Linked DNA regions of Caenorhabditis elegans. The protein of the gene in region 2 purifies or fractionates together with the protein of the main gene of each other region. This does not show direct contact. Each region holds a gene or a part of one and is shown on either strand. Other genes may lie near its edges. The genes, in order: rund-1 and ddx-19.

Region 1 (9,858 bases), on a different chromosome or scaffold from region 2:
GAAATTTCAAAACGTCATAACTTTGCTGAAACTTGACCGGGGCAGCTAAATTTTTTGGAGAGATCATAACTAACACTCTTCTGTAGGAATTTTAGCATGAGAACCCCAAATCTACGGACCCCCTCAAAGACTTCCCTTGTTAGGTATCTACTCACTTTTTGCCACCGGAGTCAGACGGAACCAGCATATTCAGTTCTCAACGATTGAAAACAAGGATAGTGAGGAAATTGTATAACTTACAATTGTTTGTTGATATTTAGTTGACAAATAACGTGAAAACTGTTGGGCAAGGGAGTTATTCCGCCCCAAACTTCTCAATATTCAAAAGTGTATTCCGTAAGTTGGGATTGCATGTAATTGTATTCAGCTAATCCTCTTTTGAGTGCTACATTGATTCTCACACGTTAAGTTCACAACTTTCCCGAATTGAAGAGATAATATTATATAACCGGAAGTTTGAGGTTTTTGAAACTATTGAGAAAGTGTCACAGGAAAGAGACATGCCAAAAAATTTATCAATCCAGTTCAGCGAATTTTCTAACGTTCACAAAACTGATGAGTAGGATCAAGGGGGTCGATTCATTCAAAAAAGGCTCGGTTCAGGAATGCGTGCTGGCACAAGGCAATGCTAGTCCAAGCAGGCATGCAGACATTTTCTCCTAACTTTGTGATATACAAAGACAATTAATGTCCCGTTGTTGTAAGTAGAAGACATACCAATGAAACAAAATCATATAAAAAAATAGTATAAATATTCCGAATTTTATATGATTTTTTGAAAAATGGTATTAAAATTTTGCTATTTTTTTAGAAGTCGTGGAAAAATTGTTTGTTTCCAAATTTTATGTTTTATTTAAGTTTCAAAAAGTAACATTCGAAAATTATTAGAGTTCGAGTGCTACAGTTCTCACAAGAAGTGGCCTAAACTTAGTAATTGTCACTTTTTGACTTTTGACAATCACAGTTATTGAAAAAAATTTGTATTATAATATTTGGTTATTTTGGCACCGTTGGATGTTCTTAACAGTTTCTTAACTAAAGTTACTTCGCACTTGATCAATTTTGAAAAATGTATAATTATTTTGCTCGCTTTGTTTTTACGTAACACAATAGCACACCCACAATAAATGAACACTGCTCGACTGTAAACTTACAGTTAAATTGTTCAATCCGGTGAATTTTGGTCAATCTCTACCCCTGGTCAACCCTGGTTAATGATTCAAATTTAATTCCCCGGAATTTTTTTGACGCCCTACTGGAAGCTGGGAAATGTACGGACGTACACTTTCATCATAAACATTTTTTTCAGGAAACGATAAATTCACTCGAGCTCCTTTAAACACTAAATCAAAAAACCCGTTTGAAATCAAAATTCAAATTTTTATCTGAAATTTTATTTTTTCTCATAAAATTCAATTCTGAAAATCTTTTCCTTTCCATTAAACCGAAACTAGCCGCAATATAAGCAATAATCAATTAAAATTATAAAGAAAAAATCCGGATTTTTTCTGACAGTGCCAGTGATTTCTCTTTTTCTCACTGTCATCTTTCTCCCTATCCGACATTCCTTTTTCCACGGAGGAGACGATATCCGCCGCCTGACACTATTTCGGTGGTGGTCGTCATAATAATGCGGCATAATAATGGTCTATATCACGCAACGTTCTACTTCTTTACTATTATTATTTTTTTTTCGTTCTCACCTGTAAACTGTCAGTTTTTGGAAATATTTGGTTTGTCTACTGGAGATGCGGGAACTCATGATAGGGGTCCGTTTCAGGATCTGGCTACGTAAGTTGGTTGACAAAAGTATTTATGCATCGTGACTGCTTTTTTAGTCGGTTCTACAGATTTATCACAATTTTTGCAAAAAGATTCCTCAAATCATTAAAAGCTTATATTTACAGAATTTCAGTTAGAGCAGCTATAATTTGAAAAAAAATGTTTTCAGTCAATCGGTCGGTCTCATGAAATACCTGCAAACAGTGCAGAAGAATCCAGACAACACTCTAGCCAAAAAGTAATGCTGTCTTAGTTTTTAATAGAGTGTATTTAAATTTTTTAAATATTCCAGATTGAAAAACCCATTACCTTCTATGAATTTGGTAGATGGAATGCCTGTTGTGCCAGGTCTTTTGGGAAGTTTACCAGGAGCCGGATCGTGTTTGCCACGTGGATCACCGCTTATTAAGGACAAGTAAGCTTTTTTATGACCAAAATTCGTGGGAATGAATGTATTTGAGAAGTATTTGTAGTCTGTTTCAAATCAACCTTACAAAAGTTAGAAAAAACCAAAAGAGTATGAATCATCATTCATTTTTCTTCAAGGTCACCAAGCTTCTTCCAAAATATCTTGCGCAACATACCGGGCGCTCAGGATTATCTGGCCAGTTTATTGCCCGCGCCAAAAGTCGACGTCAGGGCTTTGTATGGCAAGTTCCAGTGGGTGAGTGTGTGTGATAAGAGATCACCATAATGATCAGAAAACAAAAGTAGTGTTAAGCTCTGTCATACATTATTTGTATTATGTAATGACTTTTTGAAACTAAAGAAAAAATTTTTAACAACGGAATGACACAGAACATGAATTTTTCTTTCAATACGATTGTCAAATTTCAGCTCAAAAAAGGGAAAAAGTGACAAAGTGATTTTTTAACAACTAAAAAAATATACATCTTTTTGACGAGCAAAGTATGTATATGGTGGAGGGTTACTTCCAGACGAGTCCCATTTAAAACTTGTGATTTCACTAATCTATCACAAAAATTGAAACATCCACTGAATTTTCAAACTTTAATTTTTTCAATTTGTATTTTTTTCACAATTTTCTAGTACTGCAGAAGTGCTCCAAAAGTTACTTTCTATGAGACAAACATAATAAAAATTTCTGAGTATTTTTTTTGTTTTATTTAAAAAACGTGACAAATTGACTTCCACCTTTAACTTCGAAACATTAGTTTAAAATATATCAGTTACAATGTTTCATTAGAACAAAAAATTCGAGTTATAGAATTTCAATGCGAAACGAATACAATACCTTTCCAGGCTCTGGACACTCCATCTGTTCATAATCGGTATTGCGCTACAACTGAGTGTAAGTGTAATTTATCAACCCCCAACAAGAAATGTATTTCAGTCATGCCCCAAGCAGAATCGGGAAATTCGTCAGCTTTCAGTTTGCAGGAAAAGTTCAGAGCAGGAAGTGTAGATGCGGGGGAGAAAGTGAGTATTAATTACTAATTATTTTGAAGAATATTATTTTGAAAGTTTAGGTTGCATTTGGATACGGAATAATTCATCACGAGAGAACATATGTCTATATGCAGGATGATCCGTGTCCATGTAAACTTTTTTGCTAATTTTCACATATCACAAAAAACTAATTTCAGATCAAATTGTAGTAGTTGGCCCAATAAATAAGCAACACAACCAGTATGAATACCTAATTCTCTCAAATTGGGCTCGTTTCCCAATGATTGGTTTAGTTCGAGATTTGAGAAAGTTCTATAAAGAGTACAAGGATCAAGTGGAGACCGATTTGGAAAAAGCCGGATTCATGGATGATGTCACAGGGTAGGTTGGGCTTTTGGGCCCGCAAGATGTCCTTACATTAATGAACGGAAAACGTTTTTTAGTATCCGACAACCGTTGGGAATTCATATCGAATTTGACTTTTCATAAAAAATTATTTTTCAGAAGCAACCCTATTCATTACGCCGACTGGTCACAGTGCAAAAAAGCAACTCCATACAATTATCTTACAAATGTTCTCACTGATCTTTTTGGGTAAATTATCAATCATACTTCAACACTTTCATTTAAGTACTAACGTAATTTATTTTCCATTTTATTGTTTTTATTGAATAAAACAATTTTCAAAAAAAAAGTGGCAATTAATTTATTTTATCCCGAACCTGTTTTAAACTGTCTTGATTGTTCAGTTCCAGTCATTTTAATATGCTTATTACAAATTTTTTGATATTATAGTACTAAAATGCGTCTTTGATTTGTTCGAATGGCCTCAAAGCCAAGTCAACCGGTAAGTGAATACTATATTTGTGAAGACCTTCGAGAAGTGTGTAGAGTTCCTCACAGCCTGAAAATAACGAGTTGAAAATGGAAAAAAGAGAAGATGGTACCCACCTGTTCTTGCAACATAACTCCAAGAGTTGTAGCACATTTCGACAACTTGTCGGGTTCGAAATATGATCCTGCAAACAAATTTAATTAGTTTGGACATTTGAAATAAGGGCAATTGACGGGTATTAATATATGTAGCAGCTCAAGGATTTGATATAAAATAATTGGTTTTTTGTTTGAGATCACCCTAAATAAATGAACTCGTACGAGATTATTAGCAATAATACTAACAAGTTAATTAATGTCTTGCAAAGTTCTAATAGGTAAAACATCAAAATTCTTATGGAATTTCAAGCGGATAAAGTCCTTGTCAAGATGAATATTTATTTCAGACGTGTTTCTACATTTTCTGAGGTTTTCAGTCTAGGAGGAACGGCATGATCTAAAATTGCACTGTATTTTGGAGTGCGTCTTATTTTTTGTGTACACAAAGTGGTAAACGTATGATCTAAATATTCAAAAGTTGCGCGGTTTTTTTACGAAAAAAAGACTTCCGTACCTCAACCAAGCAGGTAATTTTTTCTCATTCAAAGCAGCTGAGACAAATGCTTTCCAATGCGCATCTTTTGATCTTTTTAATCTTGCGTGAGTCGAGATGATGTTTTCAATTGTTGTCAGCAAAACCTAAAAAATTAATTCGCTTGTTCGCGTCCTTAAAAAAACAGATTCTACCTGTTTTGAAGTTATGCTTCTTCCTCCGACGTGATCCAATTTAAAGGATTGACTCAATTTTCTTACAGGAGCATCTGTGGTGTCTCTTCCAGTTTTTAAATTATAAAAGTATAAAATCACATCCCAAATATGACTCAATGACGTTGATTTCTCGTCCGCCGAGCTTTTTGCGACAAAACAGCCTAACCCCGGTATCCGCTTGTGCACCACTGTTTCTGAGAGCATCCCATGCTCTAGAAGGGCTTTCAATGCAAGACACAGCTGCTTTCGGACAATAGTTACCACTTCCTCTTCAGATCGTTCAAAGACCTCCTGAAATGTGATATTGCGAAATGAAATATCTCCTCATGTGAGAATTTGTGAATTTTGTGCCCTACGTCATTTTCTACTTGAACTTCTTCTAATTGGCCTTTTGTTGCCGAGTCGAATGTCAGTAGGGTGTATTTTTCCAGCACTTGTTGTGTGGCGTCTACTGCTAGTTGCACATGCGCCCGTTCGTCTCTGCAAAAAGTTTGAATGAAAGATGCTCGCATAATGGAAGTGAATGTGGGAAATTGAACAATAAAATCGTGTTTTTTTTGGCAAAAATATTTTGATAAACCGAACATTAAAATTATATTTGGGAAGTTACATTTTTTGGTCAGTGGTTAGTGCAAAATTTAATTTTGTCAGTGCTAGAACCAATTGAAGATTGTTCGTTTCATAATCAAAACTTGAAAAAGTGAAAATTAAAATTTTTTATAATCAGACAAATATCCGAAACCCAAAGTTCTTGTAGTATGTCAAAAACACACATCATTAAAGTTTGGCTCAATAAATGTGTGCAAATACGTGATCTGTATCTTGTGGTTTGAGCAAACACGTATAGTGGTGTTTTTTGCTCACATGTTTGTATCAAACTTTTAATAAATATTTTTATCGATTTAAAAAGCGTAAATATTTTTCGATCACAAACTTGAGAAACTAACCCATAATGATTTCCTTTCAAAGTATTTTTCAGCTGATTTTTCTGAAACCTTCCTGTTGAGCACCCGATGATTCCACTTAAAAATGATCCGTTTTTAGATTTGGCACCAGACAGCGGCGTTGATCCCATGCTCTGAAAGAAAAAATTGACTAGAAAATTAGTGAAAAACAACAATGATCATACCCGAACCGGTGTAGTTTGATTCGAATTTTCAGCATTCTCTTTCTGAAGAAAGTTGACAAAACGTTCCAAATCTGTGATCTGAGTCTGAAGTTGGTCTACTAGTTGTCCCTTTTCTTTGAACGGATTGACAAGTTGCTTCAGAGCATCATCTACTTGCCGTTGTATTTCTGTTTGGTTCATTTTATCTATGTCTAGATTTAACTCGATTTTTTCGCGGAGTTTATCCAGAACGGCTTTCTACAAATTAAAATTCAGCATAAACTCTTACTTTTATACAAACCTGTTTCTTCAAAATGTCAGTACTTGGAAGCTCGCCTTCTCCATTTTCATAGGCAGTCCTTTCCAAGTCTTCTACTTGCTCGCGGAGCTGTTTTAGCAATTCTTTTTGTCGTTCATTTTGCTTGTCTAGTACATCATTTCCACTTTCACTTTCACTTCGTAGCCTTTGCAGCTCGTTCATGTCTGTGCAACCCTTGAAAGCAAATTTTTGAAGATCAGAGAGCAACTTCTGGAAAAGACATATGAGATGAGGCAACTGAGCCTAATAGCTTACTAATCTATCGCTTGGGTCCGCTTCATTCATTTGCTTTATCCGGAACTGCACCTGCGCAAAATGGGAGCTCAGGGAAAATAACGAGTTATTGAGTCGTTCCTGCTCTTCTTCCAATTGTTGTACCCGTAATGCATCGTTTAAGCTTCTAAAAATTGAGTTCTGAGTTTATCAGTTAAAGGTAGTGCAGTCAAATTTTTTTTTATTGCTTTACCGAATTTCATAATAAAAATTTTTGAAAACTTCTCGAAAAAAGTTATGGAAAAAGTCAAAAAATGATTTTGATGAAATAAAGCATTAAAAATAATTGGACTACATCAATTTAATGAGATATTCAGGATTAAAATTTTTGAACCTACTGTTGCATTGACCACAATTTACACAAAAAGCTTACCCAATATCATCACTATGACTAGAAGACAACCGAGCACTTTTCCATTCAGTTTCAGACATTGTGTCATCTGAAAACAATTATTTCAGAAAACAAAAATCACTTTTAACTCACAAAAATCCAATCCATCCACAATTTCTTTTGAATCTTCGGACGCTCGCTTTTTTAAGGATTGACCCAACTCTACTAGCAAGTCGCTGGCTTCCAACTCGTTCATCATTTTGGCAAAATTTCTGGCACCTGAAACAATACGTTGAAAAAAAATTAATAAAAAAAATAATTATATATTATTACGAATGAATAACACGTACATTTTCAAAATTTTGTTTGAAGTGATGATTATTTTGAGATTGTTAATTGAAAGCTGAACAAATTCCATTTATTGAAACAAAATGAAAATGAAAAATGGGAGTGGACAAATAAATTACATCACGAAACATTAAAAACAATATATACTTTACTTTTTTTTCATTTTCCAATTTCCGTTTTTCTGCTAAAAGGGTTTTCAGAGAAGAGAAAAACTGAAAAAGAAAAAGATGACGTATGCTTTTAAAAAGGATTGCCGGACAAAAAAGGGGAAAAAGAAGGAGAAAAATAACGGAGCACGCAAGAGAGCAGAGAAATGAGGCAACAAACTGCGTCTCGTGTTCTTCATGCACTCTCACGTCGTCGCTCTTGGTTATCGACCGCCATGGGTAACGTGGAGAAAGACGGAAGAAGCATGGAGAAGGGACGCTTTTAGTCTTGGAAATGACGAACGAAATCCTTGTGGGCGGACATAATTATGAGAGCTTTTTCGACATGGAGGGGTTTAATTTTCATATGGCTTTGAAAATGCTCCAGGGTTGCGCGACGACGATTTCTACAAAAACCGAAATAGCGAACTGGCGGATTTAGTTTCATGTTTTTGAAAAACTGCCGAATTTGTCATTTGTCAAATAATATATTTAATAATATCATCAAAACTAATAAAAATTATTTAATTATTTAAAAAAGCATTCACAACTAAGTTTTTGAAATTGTTTTCCGTTTTTGATGTTTTTTGTAGGAAAATGTGGCAAAAGTTGTATGGTATGTTAAATTGGGTAAGAGAGATTAAAGTAAAAATGAAAGAGGTTTTTTCTGTATCTCAAACGCTTTTTTTTTGGCTAAGAAATTCTGATTATCTCGCTCTGAATCATTGAAAACAATTGAACACATGTTGGCCAAAGTTTGCCATAATTGGTTGAGAGGTGGCTAAAGTTGGTTGAAGTTGGCTAAAGAAGACTACAAACGGCGAAAGGTGGCGAAGGTTGGTTGCAAAGCGACTGGTTGCTTAAAAGTGGTAGAAAAGTGGGCAAAGTTGGTTCAGAAGTGGTTAAACATGGTTTGAAAGTGGTGGGAAGCTAAAGTTGGTTGAGAAGTGAGGAACGTTGGTTTAAGAGTGGCGCGAATTTATTCACTTTTCGTGTTGGCTCTGAGAGAATTTAATGAATGCATTCATTTTTAAATTTTCGAAAATTAAATTTCAAAATTGAAAAACCAAAAAATGTTCAGCAATTGCCGTTTCTCCGTAAATTTCGCAAATCGACAGTTTACTGAAATTTCTGAAAATTTTAAAATTCAGCAATTGCTAAGACTTGCCACAAACATAAAGTTTCTAATTTCCTAAAAGTTCTCAAGCCTATGCATTTGTTGTTTTACTTTTAAACTCGAAGTATCTGAGACCTGCTAATATTTTAATGAGAAAAACCTGTCGAAACTTTCCAAATTTGATTTAACGCTATATAATGAAGCTGATAGTGAGATCAAAAACAAAGTTTTATGTTTCAAGAAAATTTGAAAACATTTTATTTAGTTATTTAGCAACTTAACATACACATTACTTAAAAAAGTAAATCTTTTGCTCACTTCTCAATGAATTTATATTAAAACAAATAAATTTTTTTTGTCTAACTTTGAGTTTGTCCGCATTTTCGGAAATTGCCAAACTTTAAAATGTTTGACAAATTGGTGAGTAGGGAGTTTGACAATTTTTTAATAGTCTTGGCAAATAACAAATGTCAGAAAAAAATAAATAAAATATTTTTAAATATAAGTTGTTTTATTTTTTAATATTTTTAAATACAATTTGAAATTTTTCTTTTTTCTTTTAGGAAATCTTAACATTTCGATAGTTCGAAATTTTAAAAAATATTGGGATAGTGATCATTTGACAATTTCTTGTCTTTTTGCTTGTATTTTTATTGCTATACGTGCCTGTTTTCACGACTATCAATTGTAATAAAATTGAATAAAATAAAATTAGGATTGCCTTCCGGCAATTGTCAACCGCTCCCTGTAATATCAAAACCTATACTAGTCGAGCCATCAAATAATCTAACAAATACTATTTCAAAAATAAAAATAGTCGATGAGCTAACTGTGGATGCACAAGACTGACCAGTAAAATGGGCGAAGCAAACAAATTCGAGAGAGGAGAAAGACAAAAATAAACGGTTTTTTCGTTCTTTGTTTGTATATTGTCAAGCTTCCCCGTCTCTATTTACGGAAAAGCTGGACAGTTGCGCATAGGTTTCTTGCGACACTTCCGGTATTTTGTGAGATTCATGTGAGGTTTCTTATCTTTGAATGCCGTGGATGATTGAGTTGTTAAAAATCATATTGTTTTTTTTGTTTGGAAAATAAGCAGCCGTCTTCAAAATTAAACAATGACATTTTTGTGCTTTGACGGCTAATATCTCGGTTCTTTTTAGTTTTAGAAAAGCATTTTCAACTGACAAAATGTGTGCAAAATATTTTTCTACATTTTGATAGCAAGTAATTTTTTGATAACATTCCACGACTGGATTATCGACCACACTGTATTGGCCACACCATAGCCCTCCGAATAGGACTTAGCTTAAATTTTAGCCCAGTGGAAACACCACCAGGCAGTGCGCCTGATTCCCAGATCCACAGAGCATAGCTCTTGAA
Region 2 (11,080 bases):
AAAAAATAACAAACAAGAGAACTAATTATAACATAATACAAATAGCAAAAAGAATAGGAGATGGAAGCTTTTGACATATTCATGACAGCTTTCCCGTTAGTTTTTCTCTCTTTTGCCACCTTTGTTGAAACCTCGGAATAACAAATTTCTCGAGTGTCGACGACAAGTGTTTCTCCATTTATCAGCTAGAGACGGAGACAGAAAAAACGAGCAAAAAAGTGGAAGTAAAGACACCTGCGCACTCGGAAAAAGAAAAGAAGGCTTACTGGTTGCGTCTAATTGAAAGCACTCGTCGACTTTTTGTTGCTTTTCACGAAATAGTGCGTGTGCGCAGGAGACAAATCCGGGGCTTTTGCAGAGAGAAAACGTGTTGAAATGATGTTATCAGCAGAAATCGATAGTGATACAGGCAAAGGCGCGCTCGACTGTGAACTTAGGAGTGAAGGGCGTTTCTCGAACGGACAACAGCTGTTTCAATAGAATACGTCGACAGAGAACTGAACGAAAACAATGAATTCCTAAATTTTAAGATGTAAAGGCGTTGCAAACACTATTCTAAAATAACAATTTACCTCAAGTTAAATGGGACAAACGAATGAAAATTTTAAAAAATTTTACAGCAAAATTGTTGAATTTCAAGTAATCATTAAAATTTTCTAGATAGAAACCAATTTCACATTTAAAAAGCAGTTTTTAAAACTTTAAAAAAGAAGGAAAATAAAAATTGCTTCGAAAGAAAAAACATGTTTTTATGTGTGGTTACGGTATGCGAATGTACGCAAACACTTTGCGGATTCTCGTGGCGGCAATTCAAATGCAACAAGGCTGAAGATTTTTTTATTCAGATTCCATCAAGAATATTGTTTACTGACTAGAGAGACCACCGGTTCGATTCGCATTACGCAACTCTGACTCGCTTCTGTCACAAACGGGCGGCGCTACTTCTCAAAGGACGAAAAAAAACTTTTGGTGACTACCGCCGACCTGACAGTTTTAATTAAAAACTGCGCCAACTTTCTGAACAAGAACTTCCGAATCTTTACAACGTAGATGGAAACTATCAAGAAACAATATATTCAGAGCCAATGAATAATGGTTGGTTGTTGGTGTTCATTGTGATATCAGAATGATAACACAATGACAAATCGCTGGTCCACTGTCTCTGCGCCTCTCTTCGCTGCTTACCTTGACACCATCCATCATTATATTACCGTAATATTTATTTATCCGGAGAGAAGGAAGAGGTGAGTGAGAAAGTGAAGGAAAAATGAGGAAAGAGATTAGGAAAACAGATAAAGTGGCGAGAAGAACCCCTCCAAACAATCATCCTGTACTGAATTATTATCAGATTGCCACAGAGGATATGATCGGAGGAATAGAGAGGATACATATGAGTTTATAACCACGATTACTGCCTCCATAATTATGCCTCTTCCGTGTTGTTGTTGTTACTACTGGTGGCGGAGGAGGAATAGTTATTGCGTTACCGAACCGAATTTATTGAAGGTGAATGATTTGGGTTTATATTGCAGCCAACTAGGTTTTCACGATCTATTGTTTAAAAGTTTATTTCTACGAGATAAATAGAATTTGATAGCGCTAGAGCCTTTTTGCGAAAGAAATAACTAAGTTTCACGGAAAAAATGGTTTTAAAATACAGAATAGTGTTAGCCTTGAAAAAGTCCAGTAGAAAATACAAAAAAAATGCAGAGAAACGTAAAAATCTGCTAAAATAAAGCAAAAAAACGAGAATTTCCTCGAAGATAAAATAAAATTGTGAGGACCTACAGTAGTACACCTTAAAGGTACACACTCGAAATTGTTCGGTCGCTGCGAGACCAGTCGCCATAAATTCGTAATGAGCCTATTTTCTAAATAGAAGAATTTCTGTATTTTTTTTAGCGATTTCGAAGAAATATTTCTATGGTTGTAACAATAGTACAGTCAAGATGTATGAGTCACATGAAAAAAACGGTGGAATTTTCGTTGCTAAAGCAAAAAAACGTAGTGGCTACTGGCACCGAATACAAAAATTAAATAAAAGGGTTCATTTTGGAAGAGTAATGAGTCAGTCTCGATGGACAACATTGTTTTATCAGTTGAAAAGGAGTGTAGATAAATCAATGGTCCCGTCCATTTTCTTCTGATAACAATTGAGTTTGCATTGTGGCCAGAAGTGACCTGTCATGAAGGAAGAAGGAAGAGAACAGGCCTCCCTCCTAACAAAGATGTGAACTTGCCATTGTTTATCTTCCATATCGACAAACAAACGGCAGCAACGAATTTGAATAATGCAGGAAACAATTAAAAGCGGGAAGACGAACAAAAAATGAATATGTAAACCCGGAACTCGGGCAAAAAAAGTTTATTTTGGAAATATTTATTCGGATTCAAATAACAAGATAAAGGCGAAAACGAAAACTCACAAACAATCAACTCTAATAGAATATCTAGAACCGTTTTTGTTTCTAAAGCCTTCTCCACACATTGTAACAAAAATGGAGAATTTTACGTACCAGAACTGAAATACAAAGGAGATGATGATGATGGTGAAGTGTTAAGTATCCGCTTGGTTAATAAAATAATGAGAATATAAAAAAAAATGGAAAAGAGTCAACAATGTCAAGGAAAGCAAAAATTCGGGGCAAACTGTATTTGATAAGTGAAAAAGTAGATTGGTATATGGGGGAGTGGGAAACACTGACCCGCAGTAAAACGTATGAAATGTTGTAGATTATGCCATTTCTATGGCTTCTAGCTCTACCAAATTCGATGGATCCATTCGAGCGATCTTCATCTCTGAAAATAATATTTTAGTCATTGCAAAAAAATGTATTACTCACGGAAATGATTTTCGAGCACATTAATCATGTTCATCGAGTCTTCTGAATCGATCAAATTAATGGCAATACCAGTCTTTCCAAATCTTCCAGTTCTTCCAATACGGTGGAGGTAAGTTTCACAATCAGGTTGAGTGAATCCATCCACCACCATCGGAGTTCCTTCATCGGTGTACTTGATCGGAAGATCGTAATTAATCACCACCGACACCTGCGCTACATCAATTCCACGAGCAAACACGTTCGTCGTGATCAGAACTTTGAAGTCGCCGCGCTTGAAATGGATGATCGTATCAGCTCTCTCGACAACAGTCATATCTCCATGTAAAACATCAACTTGATGTCCTCTTGCTCTCATGTTCTCATACAACCACATAACACTAGCCTTCGTGTGACAGAAAATGACGGATGAGGCGACAGCGAGTCCACTGTAAAGGTTGACGATAGCCTGTAAATTGCATTGGTTTATAGATAAGCATTTTTATAAAACTGAAATCTAACCGCATATTTCGAATCTCTACAGGCGCATTGAACGTAGAACTGCTTAATGTTCGGCAATGCTTGTTCTTCACGTTTCAACCTGAAAGTTTGTTTTGGTTTTGGATTTACGAGGAAGAGGACACAATGGTGCTTCAAGAGCGGACCACCCACTGAGTTGTTACAATATTAATGAAGACACGAGTAAATAAACCGTTCCAAGCTTACATTACGATTTGGAAAGGGAGTGCATCTGTGAAACTTACATTACTACAATTGCATTCTTGATGATTTTTGTTGCGAAATTGATCACTGGTTCGTCGTACGTGGCTGAGAACAACATTGATTGGACAGAATCTGAAGCATCTTCGACCATACTGAAAAAAAGACAAGTAAATTATTATGTTGGTAAACAGTATTTCATACTTATAGATTGTAGTTGAGATATCAGTGAATCCTTGATGATAAATCATCACATCAGCTTCGTCAAGTACCAAGCAACGGATCTTGCTCGGATCAATGCACTTGTACTTTTGAAGGTAGTCGCGAGTCTTAAATGAAATAGTTATTCATTAGTTATTTCATAAACTAGTCAACTCACGATCCCTGGAGTTCCAATAACAATTTGTTCAGTAAGCTTTCGTCCTCTCATTGCAGCCATATTTCCTCCTTTGATCGCGTAGTGAATTTTCAAATTATCAATGAATTTTCCCATCTTCTCAACAACTTCTCCGATCTGCTTGGCCAATTCAAGAGTCGGTGCCAAACAAATGCACTGGGGGCACATCAGATTGACATCAATCCTGCAGAGCATGGTGAGCACAAATGCAGCAGTTTTTCCGGTACCGGATTGGGCTTGAGCAATAAGGTTGGATGGTCTGAAAAATAACGATTATAATAAAACTTTGAGGATATTTTAGTTAGCATCAAAACTGTCGCTTTTTGGATAATTTATTTTTAAACTAAAATCCAAAATTGTTGGCCGACACCATTGGTTTTCCCCCGTAAAATAAATGTATGAAAGAACTTACGGCTCCATAAGAAGAAGTGGTAAAGCTGTTTCTTGAATTCTAGTTGGGAACTGGAAATTCATCGTGTCAAGAGCCTTGAGTACTTCGGGTTTTAAACGAAGTTCACGGAAGGATGAGATTGAGTACAAAGGAGATTTTGGGTCTTGTCTTTGCACGTCAACGACAACGTCTTTCATCATCTTCACCTCCTTTTGAATGAACTTATTTAGCAAAGCAATATCTGCTGGAACTGGAACTTGTTCATGAGCTTCTTCTGTTGCCGGTTTCGTGAACTTGTACTTCGAATCCTAAAATAAAAATAGATTTCGATCGCTTACAATGAAATAAATTACCGGTTTCACAAATTGTTGTGCAGCTTGGTGTCCACCGTACTGAGGTGGTGTATCTCTTGGTCGTGGAACAAAAGCTGGATTTTGTTGTCCTCTTCCACGTCCCATAGCTGAAAATAAACAATGAGACAGAAAACGTGAAATGAATATTCAATAAATACATTGTCCTTGACCGGGGGCGCCGAAATCCATTTGCCCTCCGCCTGATCCACGTCCTCCTCTACAAATAAATCATAATTATTGTTATCGAGGGGGTCTGCTATCACTACCTGTACGCTCCTTGGAATCCTCCTCTCATTGGTTGTGATTGTCCTGGCATGATTGGAACTAGAAAAATATGAATTAATTAATTTATTTAGGAAAACGGGAGAATTGGTTGTGGGGTCAAGCAATGATGTGCAAAATTAGACATGCGTGCAATAAAATCCACAAAACTAAGCATTACCTTTTTTGAAACCAAAATTGATAAATTGATAACTGTTAAAGAGAACGTGAAATTTCGTGGATTTTAATTACATCGTGTTTAGGTGAAACACAAAGGGTAGGTTAATATCAAGCAAACAAGCAAGTCTTACACCAAAAATCTGGCAAAAATATTATTATCATTTGATAACCCGGGATTTCCTGGAATTTGGTATCTATAAAATATTCTTATACCCAAAAACATACCACTCGAGTTCTTCATTTCATTTTCCTTGAACTCTGGTTTGGTAGAGCTTGAATTTCCGCCAAATGGATTCTTTTGAGCAGGTTCGGATTTTGAATTGAAATTCGCTCCATATGGTCTGACGGAGCTCGATGTTTCTTGTTCAGTATTCGGATTTCGTGTTTCTACGAAAGGCAGACGCCCAGACTCATTACCAACTGAGGTATTGACCGTTGGAGCAGTTGATCTACCGAAACCTCCACCGACGACATGCTTATTGGCAGGAAGTTCAGACGATGAAGCAGCAAAAGATGGTTTCGATCCGAAAGCACCGCCTGAGGTATTTGATGGGTTTCTTAAGATTTCTGGTGGTGATAGGCTTTCAACATCTGGAACTTTTGTGGACTTGTTTCCGAAAGATCCTCCCATCGAAGAACTTCCTGTGACGGATGTTGAAGCTCCGAAGGCACCACCAAATGACGGCTTCGATGAGAAACTAGACGGTTGGTTTCCAAAACTTCCTCCAGCTGAAGTAGAAGTTGGTTTTGCTGCAAAACAGCTTGAAGATGAAGAAAGTGCAGAAGAATTGCTAGAGATATTCTCGTTTGATGGTTTCGATCCAAAGCTAGCCACAGTTCTCGATTGGGATGCTGATGCCGAAGAGCTGTTGAAAGACCCTCCAGCCGAAGCGGAAGACTTGATTCCAAAACTTTCTTCTGAACGAATAGATGCTACAACTGTAGAGGAACCAAAACTTCCTCCGGTTGTCGCTGGTGACTTCATAGATGAACCAAATCCGCCACCAACCGATTTCATTACCGGAACTTTAGGCATATCGTTGCTGACAATATTCGGAGATTTCACTCCAAATCCTCCACCAACAGACGGAGCAACGCTCGATGATTGTGTTTTTGCACCGAATGCTCCACCTTGAGAGATTGATGCTCCAAAACGTCCTCCAGTGGATGTCTTTGGTGTAGAATCTTCAAGATTCGTAGAAGTTTGCGGAATCGATCCACTCAGCGTTCTCGGGGCTAAAACTCCAAAACGTCCTCCTTCATGGTTATTCTTAATTATTGCTGGTGGACAAGGTGCCATGCTGCGGTTAGTGCCAAAGCCTCCACCACGTTTACATGCAGGTTTTTCTTTGTGAATTCCAACAGAAATTATATTACCTCCTCCAATGAGTTCTTCTGCTGAACCAAGTGGTGCACCACGGCCATCCACCCCTGCTTGGCCTCCGAATGAACCTAAAATTGCGATAGGGAAGTTAATAGGAACAAAAGGATAAATGGACACAGTACAAGCATAACAGATATAAACACTTACCACCAACACGGGTTCCCGAAGTTGATCCGAATGAAGTTTGAGGTGGTGGAGCATTACTGGCTTTTGGTCCGCCGAACATGCCTCCTCGGCTAATTCCCCATCCATTTGATCCTGTAAAAATAACTGTTAGGAAAGAAGTTTCTCCGATGAATCTTACCTTTATTCTCTTCATTTTGATCCATTTCCGAGCCTGATTGCACCTTTTCGGTCTGAAAGAAATTAATATATTCCGTTCCGCTGAAAAAATGCACTCGGTTTCCACGCACACATACAGGGAAGAAGCATGAAAATTGTGCGAGGTAGAAGCAAAAAGCAATTGTACAGTGCAAGAGAAAAGAGCCGAAACTCTCGGAACACGGACGGACAAACAGACAAACAATCACGAACACACATAGACATTAACAAATCCGACCACCTTTTCTGGCACTTCAAGCCCTTCCGATCGACACTGCTCGTCGAATGCAATACCCCAATCAGCCATTTTCGATCTGTTATGAGAACTACGATAATTCATTGTTAGTATTCAGGACAAATTAAAGATCGGAACACGAAATTGAAAAGAAAACATGTTGAGGCGAAATTTGGGTCGACACATGAACCCGAGAAGGGAGAGATTGCAGAAAGAAGATAGTTCTTTGGTTCATCGACAGGGTAGGAAATAGTTATTCTAGAAGTGTTTTCTCTATTTTGCCATTGATAATGCATGTAAACACATTGTTTGGTCAGGGAAGTACAAAATCTATCTTCTTTTTAGGGCATTTTTCCACAAAATATATGAAATTTAACTTTAAAATGTATTTTAAACATTTGAAGTTATAAAAATGACGCACACATGAAAGATAAATAGAATAAACAAACAAAAAATTAGGATCGACGCCAATAAAAACATCTGAAATTGAGATGAGCAATTTCGAAAATGGGTACGGTTGACAGTACACCGTACACAGTAATGCACACAATGCACCAGATCATACGACAAACATATCTTAATATTTAAATTTAGGATTTTTAACTTGCAAGTATCATGATATTCTTGCTAATTGTTATTTTTTAAAGAAAATGATCACTCACCTGTCTACTGGAATGGCTTTGAACAACGCAAAAACACCGCATGACCATCAAAAAGAGTTACGCGACAAAACTTCAGAGATAATTTACCTTTCAACGAAATTAAATCACGCCAAAGAAACATGTGTGAATCTGGATAATGAACGTCAGAAGTTTCGAGAAGTTAGCCGAAAAATCAAAGAGGTTTGTCTGTAAAACAATAATGCAAACTGAATAACTTATTTTCAGAAGGATATTGATCCAGTTTGGATATACAATGGAACGTGCTTCCTTCAAACAAGCCAAGCAAATAGTTTGAATATTTTGGAGAAAGATACGAAAACTGTCGAAGAAGTTCGTGGACAGATTCAAGAAGTTATCAAGGTAAAATAAAAATATTAATTCGATAATTGAATTGTTTTTTTACAGAAAGACATGGACACATTTCTCAAACTACACAAGAAGCGAAATCTAGAAGAACGTGGTTTCGGTTTAAAGCCATTGCTCAAAGACGGAAAATTAACTGATTAAATTATGAAATATCTGAATACGGGTCAATGAATTGATATTAAAATACTTAAATTTGTATTGTTATCCTGTTCTTGTATATCCGAGTTTAATTTCTCGTCTCTTTATTTGAACTATTCGCGACTTTTTAAATCTTGTTAAATATTATTTTTAGATGTCCAGAGACGTCAAAGAATTTCTATATGCTTGGTTAGGAAAGAATAAGTATGGAAATCCGACGTACGATACAAAAAGTGAAACCAGGAGTGGTAGGCAGAGATTCAAATGCGAACTTCGGATCACAGGATTTGGCTACACTGCTTTCGGAAATTCCACAAACAAAAAGGTTCGTGCTACTTGGGAAATCAGTTTTTATCAAAAGTTTTCAGGATGCTGCTACCAATGCTGCTCAAGATTTCTGCCAATACCTAGTCAGAGAAGGAAAAATGCAACAGAGTGATATTCCGACTCTAACGTCTTCGAGTCTTGAAGCTTCTTCCACGTGGCAAGATTCTGAAACTGCTACAATGTTTTGTGGTGGAGAAGATGGCAACTCGTTCCAAGAGTCACAGCAACCAATTCCACAAAAAAGATTTCCTTGGAGTAACAATGCATATCAACGTAACGAGGGCACACATGAACAATATATTACACAGAAAGCAGAAGAAATTGCTGCATCGGAAACTGTTGATCTAAAATCAGAAATTCATGGAGGATGGACGATGGAGAATTCAAAGAAAGCGCTGAATGAGTTTCTTCAAAAAATGAGACTTCCACAGGTTAACTATGGAACCAAAATTCGAGAATCAAACACCGTTAAGTAAGTTTTTCATATTAGAAGAATTACTTCATTTTTTTCATACCAAAATATTTACAGAACAATGGAGACGACTGCCCAAATCTTTGTTCCTCAAATCAACAAAAGTGCGTTCTTTTATCGTCTTTTATCCAAATAAAAAATGAAAATGTTTACAGATCTCGTTGGAAAAGGTACTGGATCTAACAAGAAAGTTTCTGAAGCGGCGTGTGCAATGAATATCGTTCGTCAGATGTTCCATCTCAATATTATGCAATCGTACAGTGGACCAATCAAGAAGAGTAAAGTCAGCACGGTTAGTTTTTCTGAGTTTAAGTTGTTTTGAAGTTTATTATATTAATTTTCAGCTTCCTGAAATTGCGATTTCCATTCCAGAAGATCTCTCAACTCGAGTGACAGAATATGTTCGGTCGTGCGGTCTTGAGTTGCCAGAAATCAACGAAACGAGTGCAACTCCGGAAGCTCCTACCTCACTGCTCACGGATGTTAAACTAGCGCAGTTCCCTGTTTCAGAAATTTGTTCCGCTTCGAATATCTCCTGGGCACCTCCTCTTCAGAATTGGAATCCATGGAGAGCTTCGAATATCGATGAGGAACCATTAGCTTTTGTAAGTTTTTTGATTCAAGCGAATAATTTAAAATTAAATTAAATTCAGATGTCAATGGAGCAAATTAGTCAGAGAATAATGGAAAAAGAGGATTTCAAGCGAGGTGAAGCACTTGACAAAATAACAGCTCAACGTGGAGAACTCCCTGTCGCCCAGTATCGTGAAAACATTGTACAAACCGTCGCAGAAAATCGTGTTACACTGATCAAAGGAGAAACTGGATGTGGAAAGAGTACTCAAGTTGCTCAATTTCTACTGGAAAGTTTTTTGGAAAATTCTAATGGAGCATCTTTCAATGCAGTCGTCTCTCAACCTCGTCGTATTTCTGCAATTTCACTGGCCGAACGTGTCGCCAACGAGCGAGGAGAAGAAGTTGGAGAAACATGCGGATATAATGTTCGATTCGATAGTGCAACTCCTCGGCCATATGGATCTATCATGTTTTGTACTGTTGGAGTCTTGCTGCGAATGATGGAGAACGGATTACGAGGAATTTCACATGTAATCATCGATGAAATTCACGAACGGGATGTTGACGTGAGTGTTGAAACTGCACATCAAATTAAAAATCTTTTTTTTTCAGACTGACTTTGTTCTTATTGTGCTCCGCGAAATGATTAGCACATACCGAGATCTACGTGTGGTACTCATGTCTGCCACCATCGACACTGATTTGTTTACCAATTTCTTCAGCTCTATCCCAGATGTTGGCCCGACACCAGTTATCACGATGCATGGAAGAACTTTTCCTGTACAATGTAAGTTCTGGATAAAAATAGTTATATTTAAATTAATTTAAAATTTCAGCATTCTACCTGGAAGACATTCTTCACAATCTTCAGCATATGCCTGAGGAACCAGATCAAAAGAAACGGAAAAAGGGAGGACCACCTCCACCAGATGATGATGAAGGAGATGAAGAAGTGGATGATAAGGGTCGAAACATGAATATTCTAACAGATCCATCAATCAACGAATCACTGAAAACAGCAATGTCAAGAATCTCTGAAAAAGATATTCCATTCGGTGTGATCGAAGCTATTTTGAACGATATTGCATCCCGCGGAGTGGATGGCGCCGTTTTAGTTTTTCTTCCCGGTTGGGCAGAAATTATGACACTTTGCAATCGACTTTTAGAGCACCAAGAATTTGGTAAATTTACAAATTAAAACTTCAATCAAAATTATTAATTTCCAGGCCAAGCTAATAAATATGAAATTCTTCCACTTCATTCTCAATTAACTAGTCAGGAACAGAGAAAAGTGTTCAATCACTACCCAGGAAAGCGGAAGATCATTGTTTCAACAAATATCGCTGAAACAAGTATTACAATTGATGACGTAGTCTATGTGATTGACTCTTGCAAGTAAGTATTTTTAAAAAAGATCACCGAAATCTTTCTTTTTTTTAGAGCAAAGGAACGAATGTATACATCGAACAACAATATGG

What was found.
Region 1: the proteins of ddx-19 (region 2) and rund-1 fractionate together in Caenorhabditis elegans (co-fractionation; one large-scale study listed by BioGRID). This does not show direct contact.

What each region holds. Positions count from the first base shown.
Region 1 is NC_003284.9:654,635-664,492, forward strand, and holds rund-1 (RUN domain-containing protein), read right to left. Parts: upstream 7,144-9,858; 5' UTR 7,124-7,143; coding exon 7,018-7,123; intron 6,974-7,017; coding exon 6,907-6,973; intron 6,661-6,906; coding exon 6,516-6,660; intron 6,471-6,515; coding exon 6,243-6,470; intron 6,200-6,242; coding exon 5,963-6,199; intron 5,912-5,962; coding exon 5,781-5,911; intron 5,314-5,780; coding exon 5,190-5,313; intron 5,125-5,189; coding exon 4,813-5,124; intron 4,765-4,812; coding exon 4,640-4,764; intron 4,212-4,639; coding exon 4,144-4,211; intron 4,097-4,143; coding exon 3,990-4,096; 3' UTR 3,843-3,989; downstream 1-3,842. Other genes in the region: Intermediate filament protein ifc-2, read right to left, coding at 156-187; lpr-7 (Lipocalin domain-containing protein), read left to right, coding at 1,631-1,791, 1,952-2,020, 2,075-2,197, 2,329-2,446, 3,046-3,094, 3,137-3,222, 3,273-3,342, 3,390-3,573 and 1 more.
Region 2 is NC_003280.10:8,880,961-8,892,040, reverse strand, and holds ddx-19 (RNA helicase), read right to left. Parts: upstream 7,143-11,080; 5' UTR 7,134-7,142; coding exon 7,068-7,133; intron 6,862-7,067; coding exon 6,810-6,861; intron 6,764-6,809; coding exon 6,653-6,763; intron 6,574-6,652; coding exon 5,347-6,573; intron 5,005-5,346; coding exon 4,947-5,004; intron 4,898-4,946; coding exon 4,839-4,897; intron 4,788-4,838; coding exon 4,681-4,787; intron 4,636-4,680; coding exon 4,349-4,635; intron 4,196-4,348; coding exon 3,919-4,195; intron 3,869-3,918; coding exon 3,744-3,868; intron 3,695-3,743; coding exon 3,584-3,694; intron 3,421-3,583; coding exon 3,342-3,420; intron 3,289-3,341; coding exon 2,844-3,288; intron 2,800-2,843; coding exon 2,735-2,799; 3' UTR 2,341-2,734; downstream 1-2,340. Other genes in the region: T07D4.5 (P53 and DNA damage-regulated protein 1), read left to right, coding at 7,712-7,903, 7,949-8,083, 8,129-8,230; rha-1 (ATP-dependent RNA helicase A), read left to right, coding at 8,382-8,552, 8,596-9,026, 9,084-9,130, 9,182-9,318, 9,371-9,631, 9,680-10,168, 10,215-10,389, 10,439-10,783 and 2 more.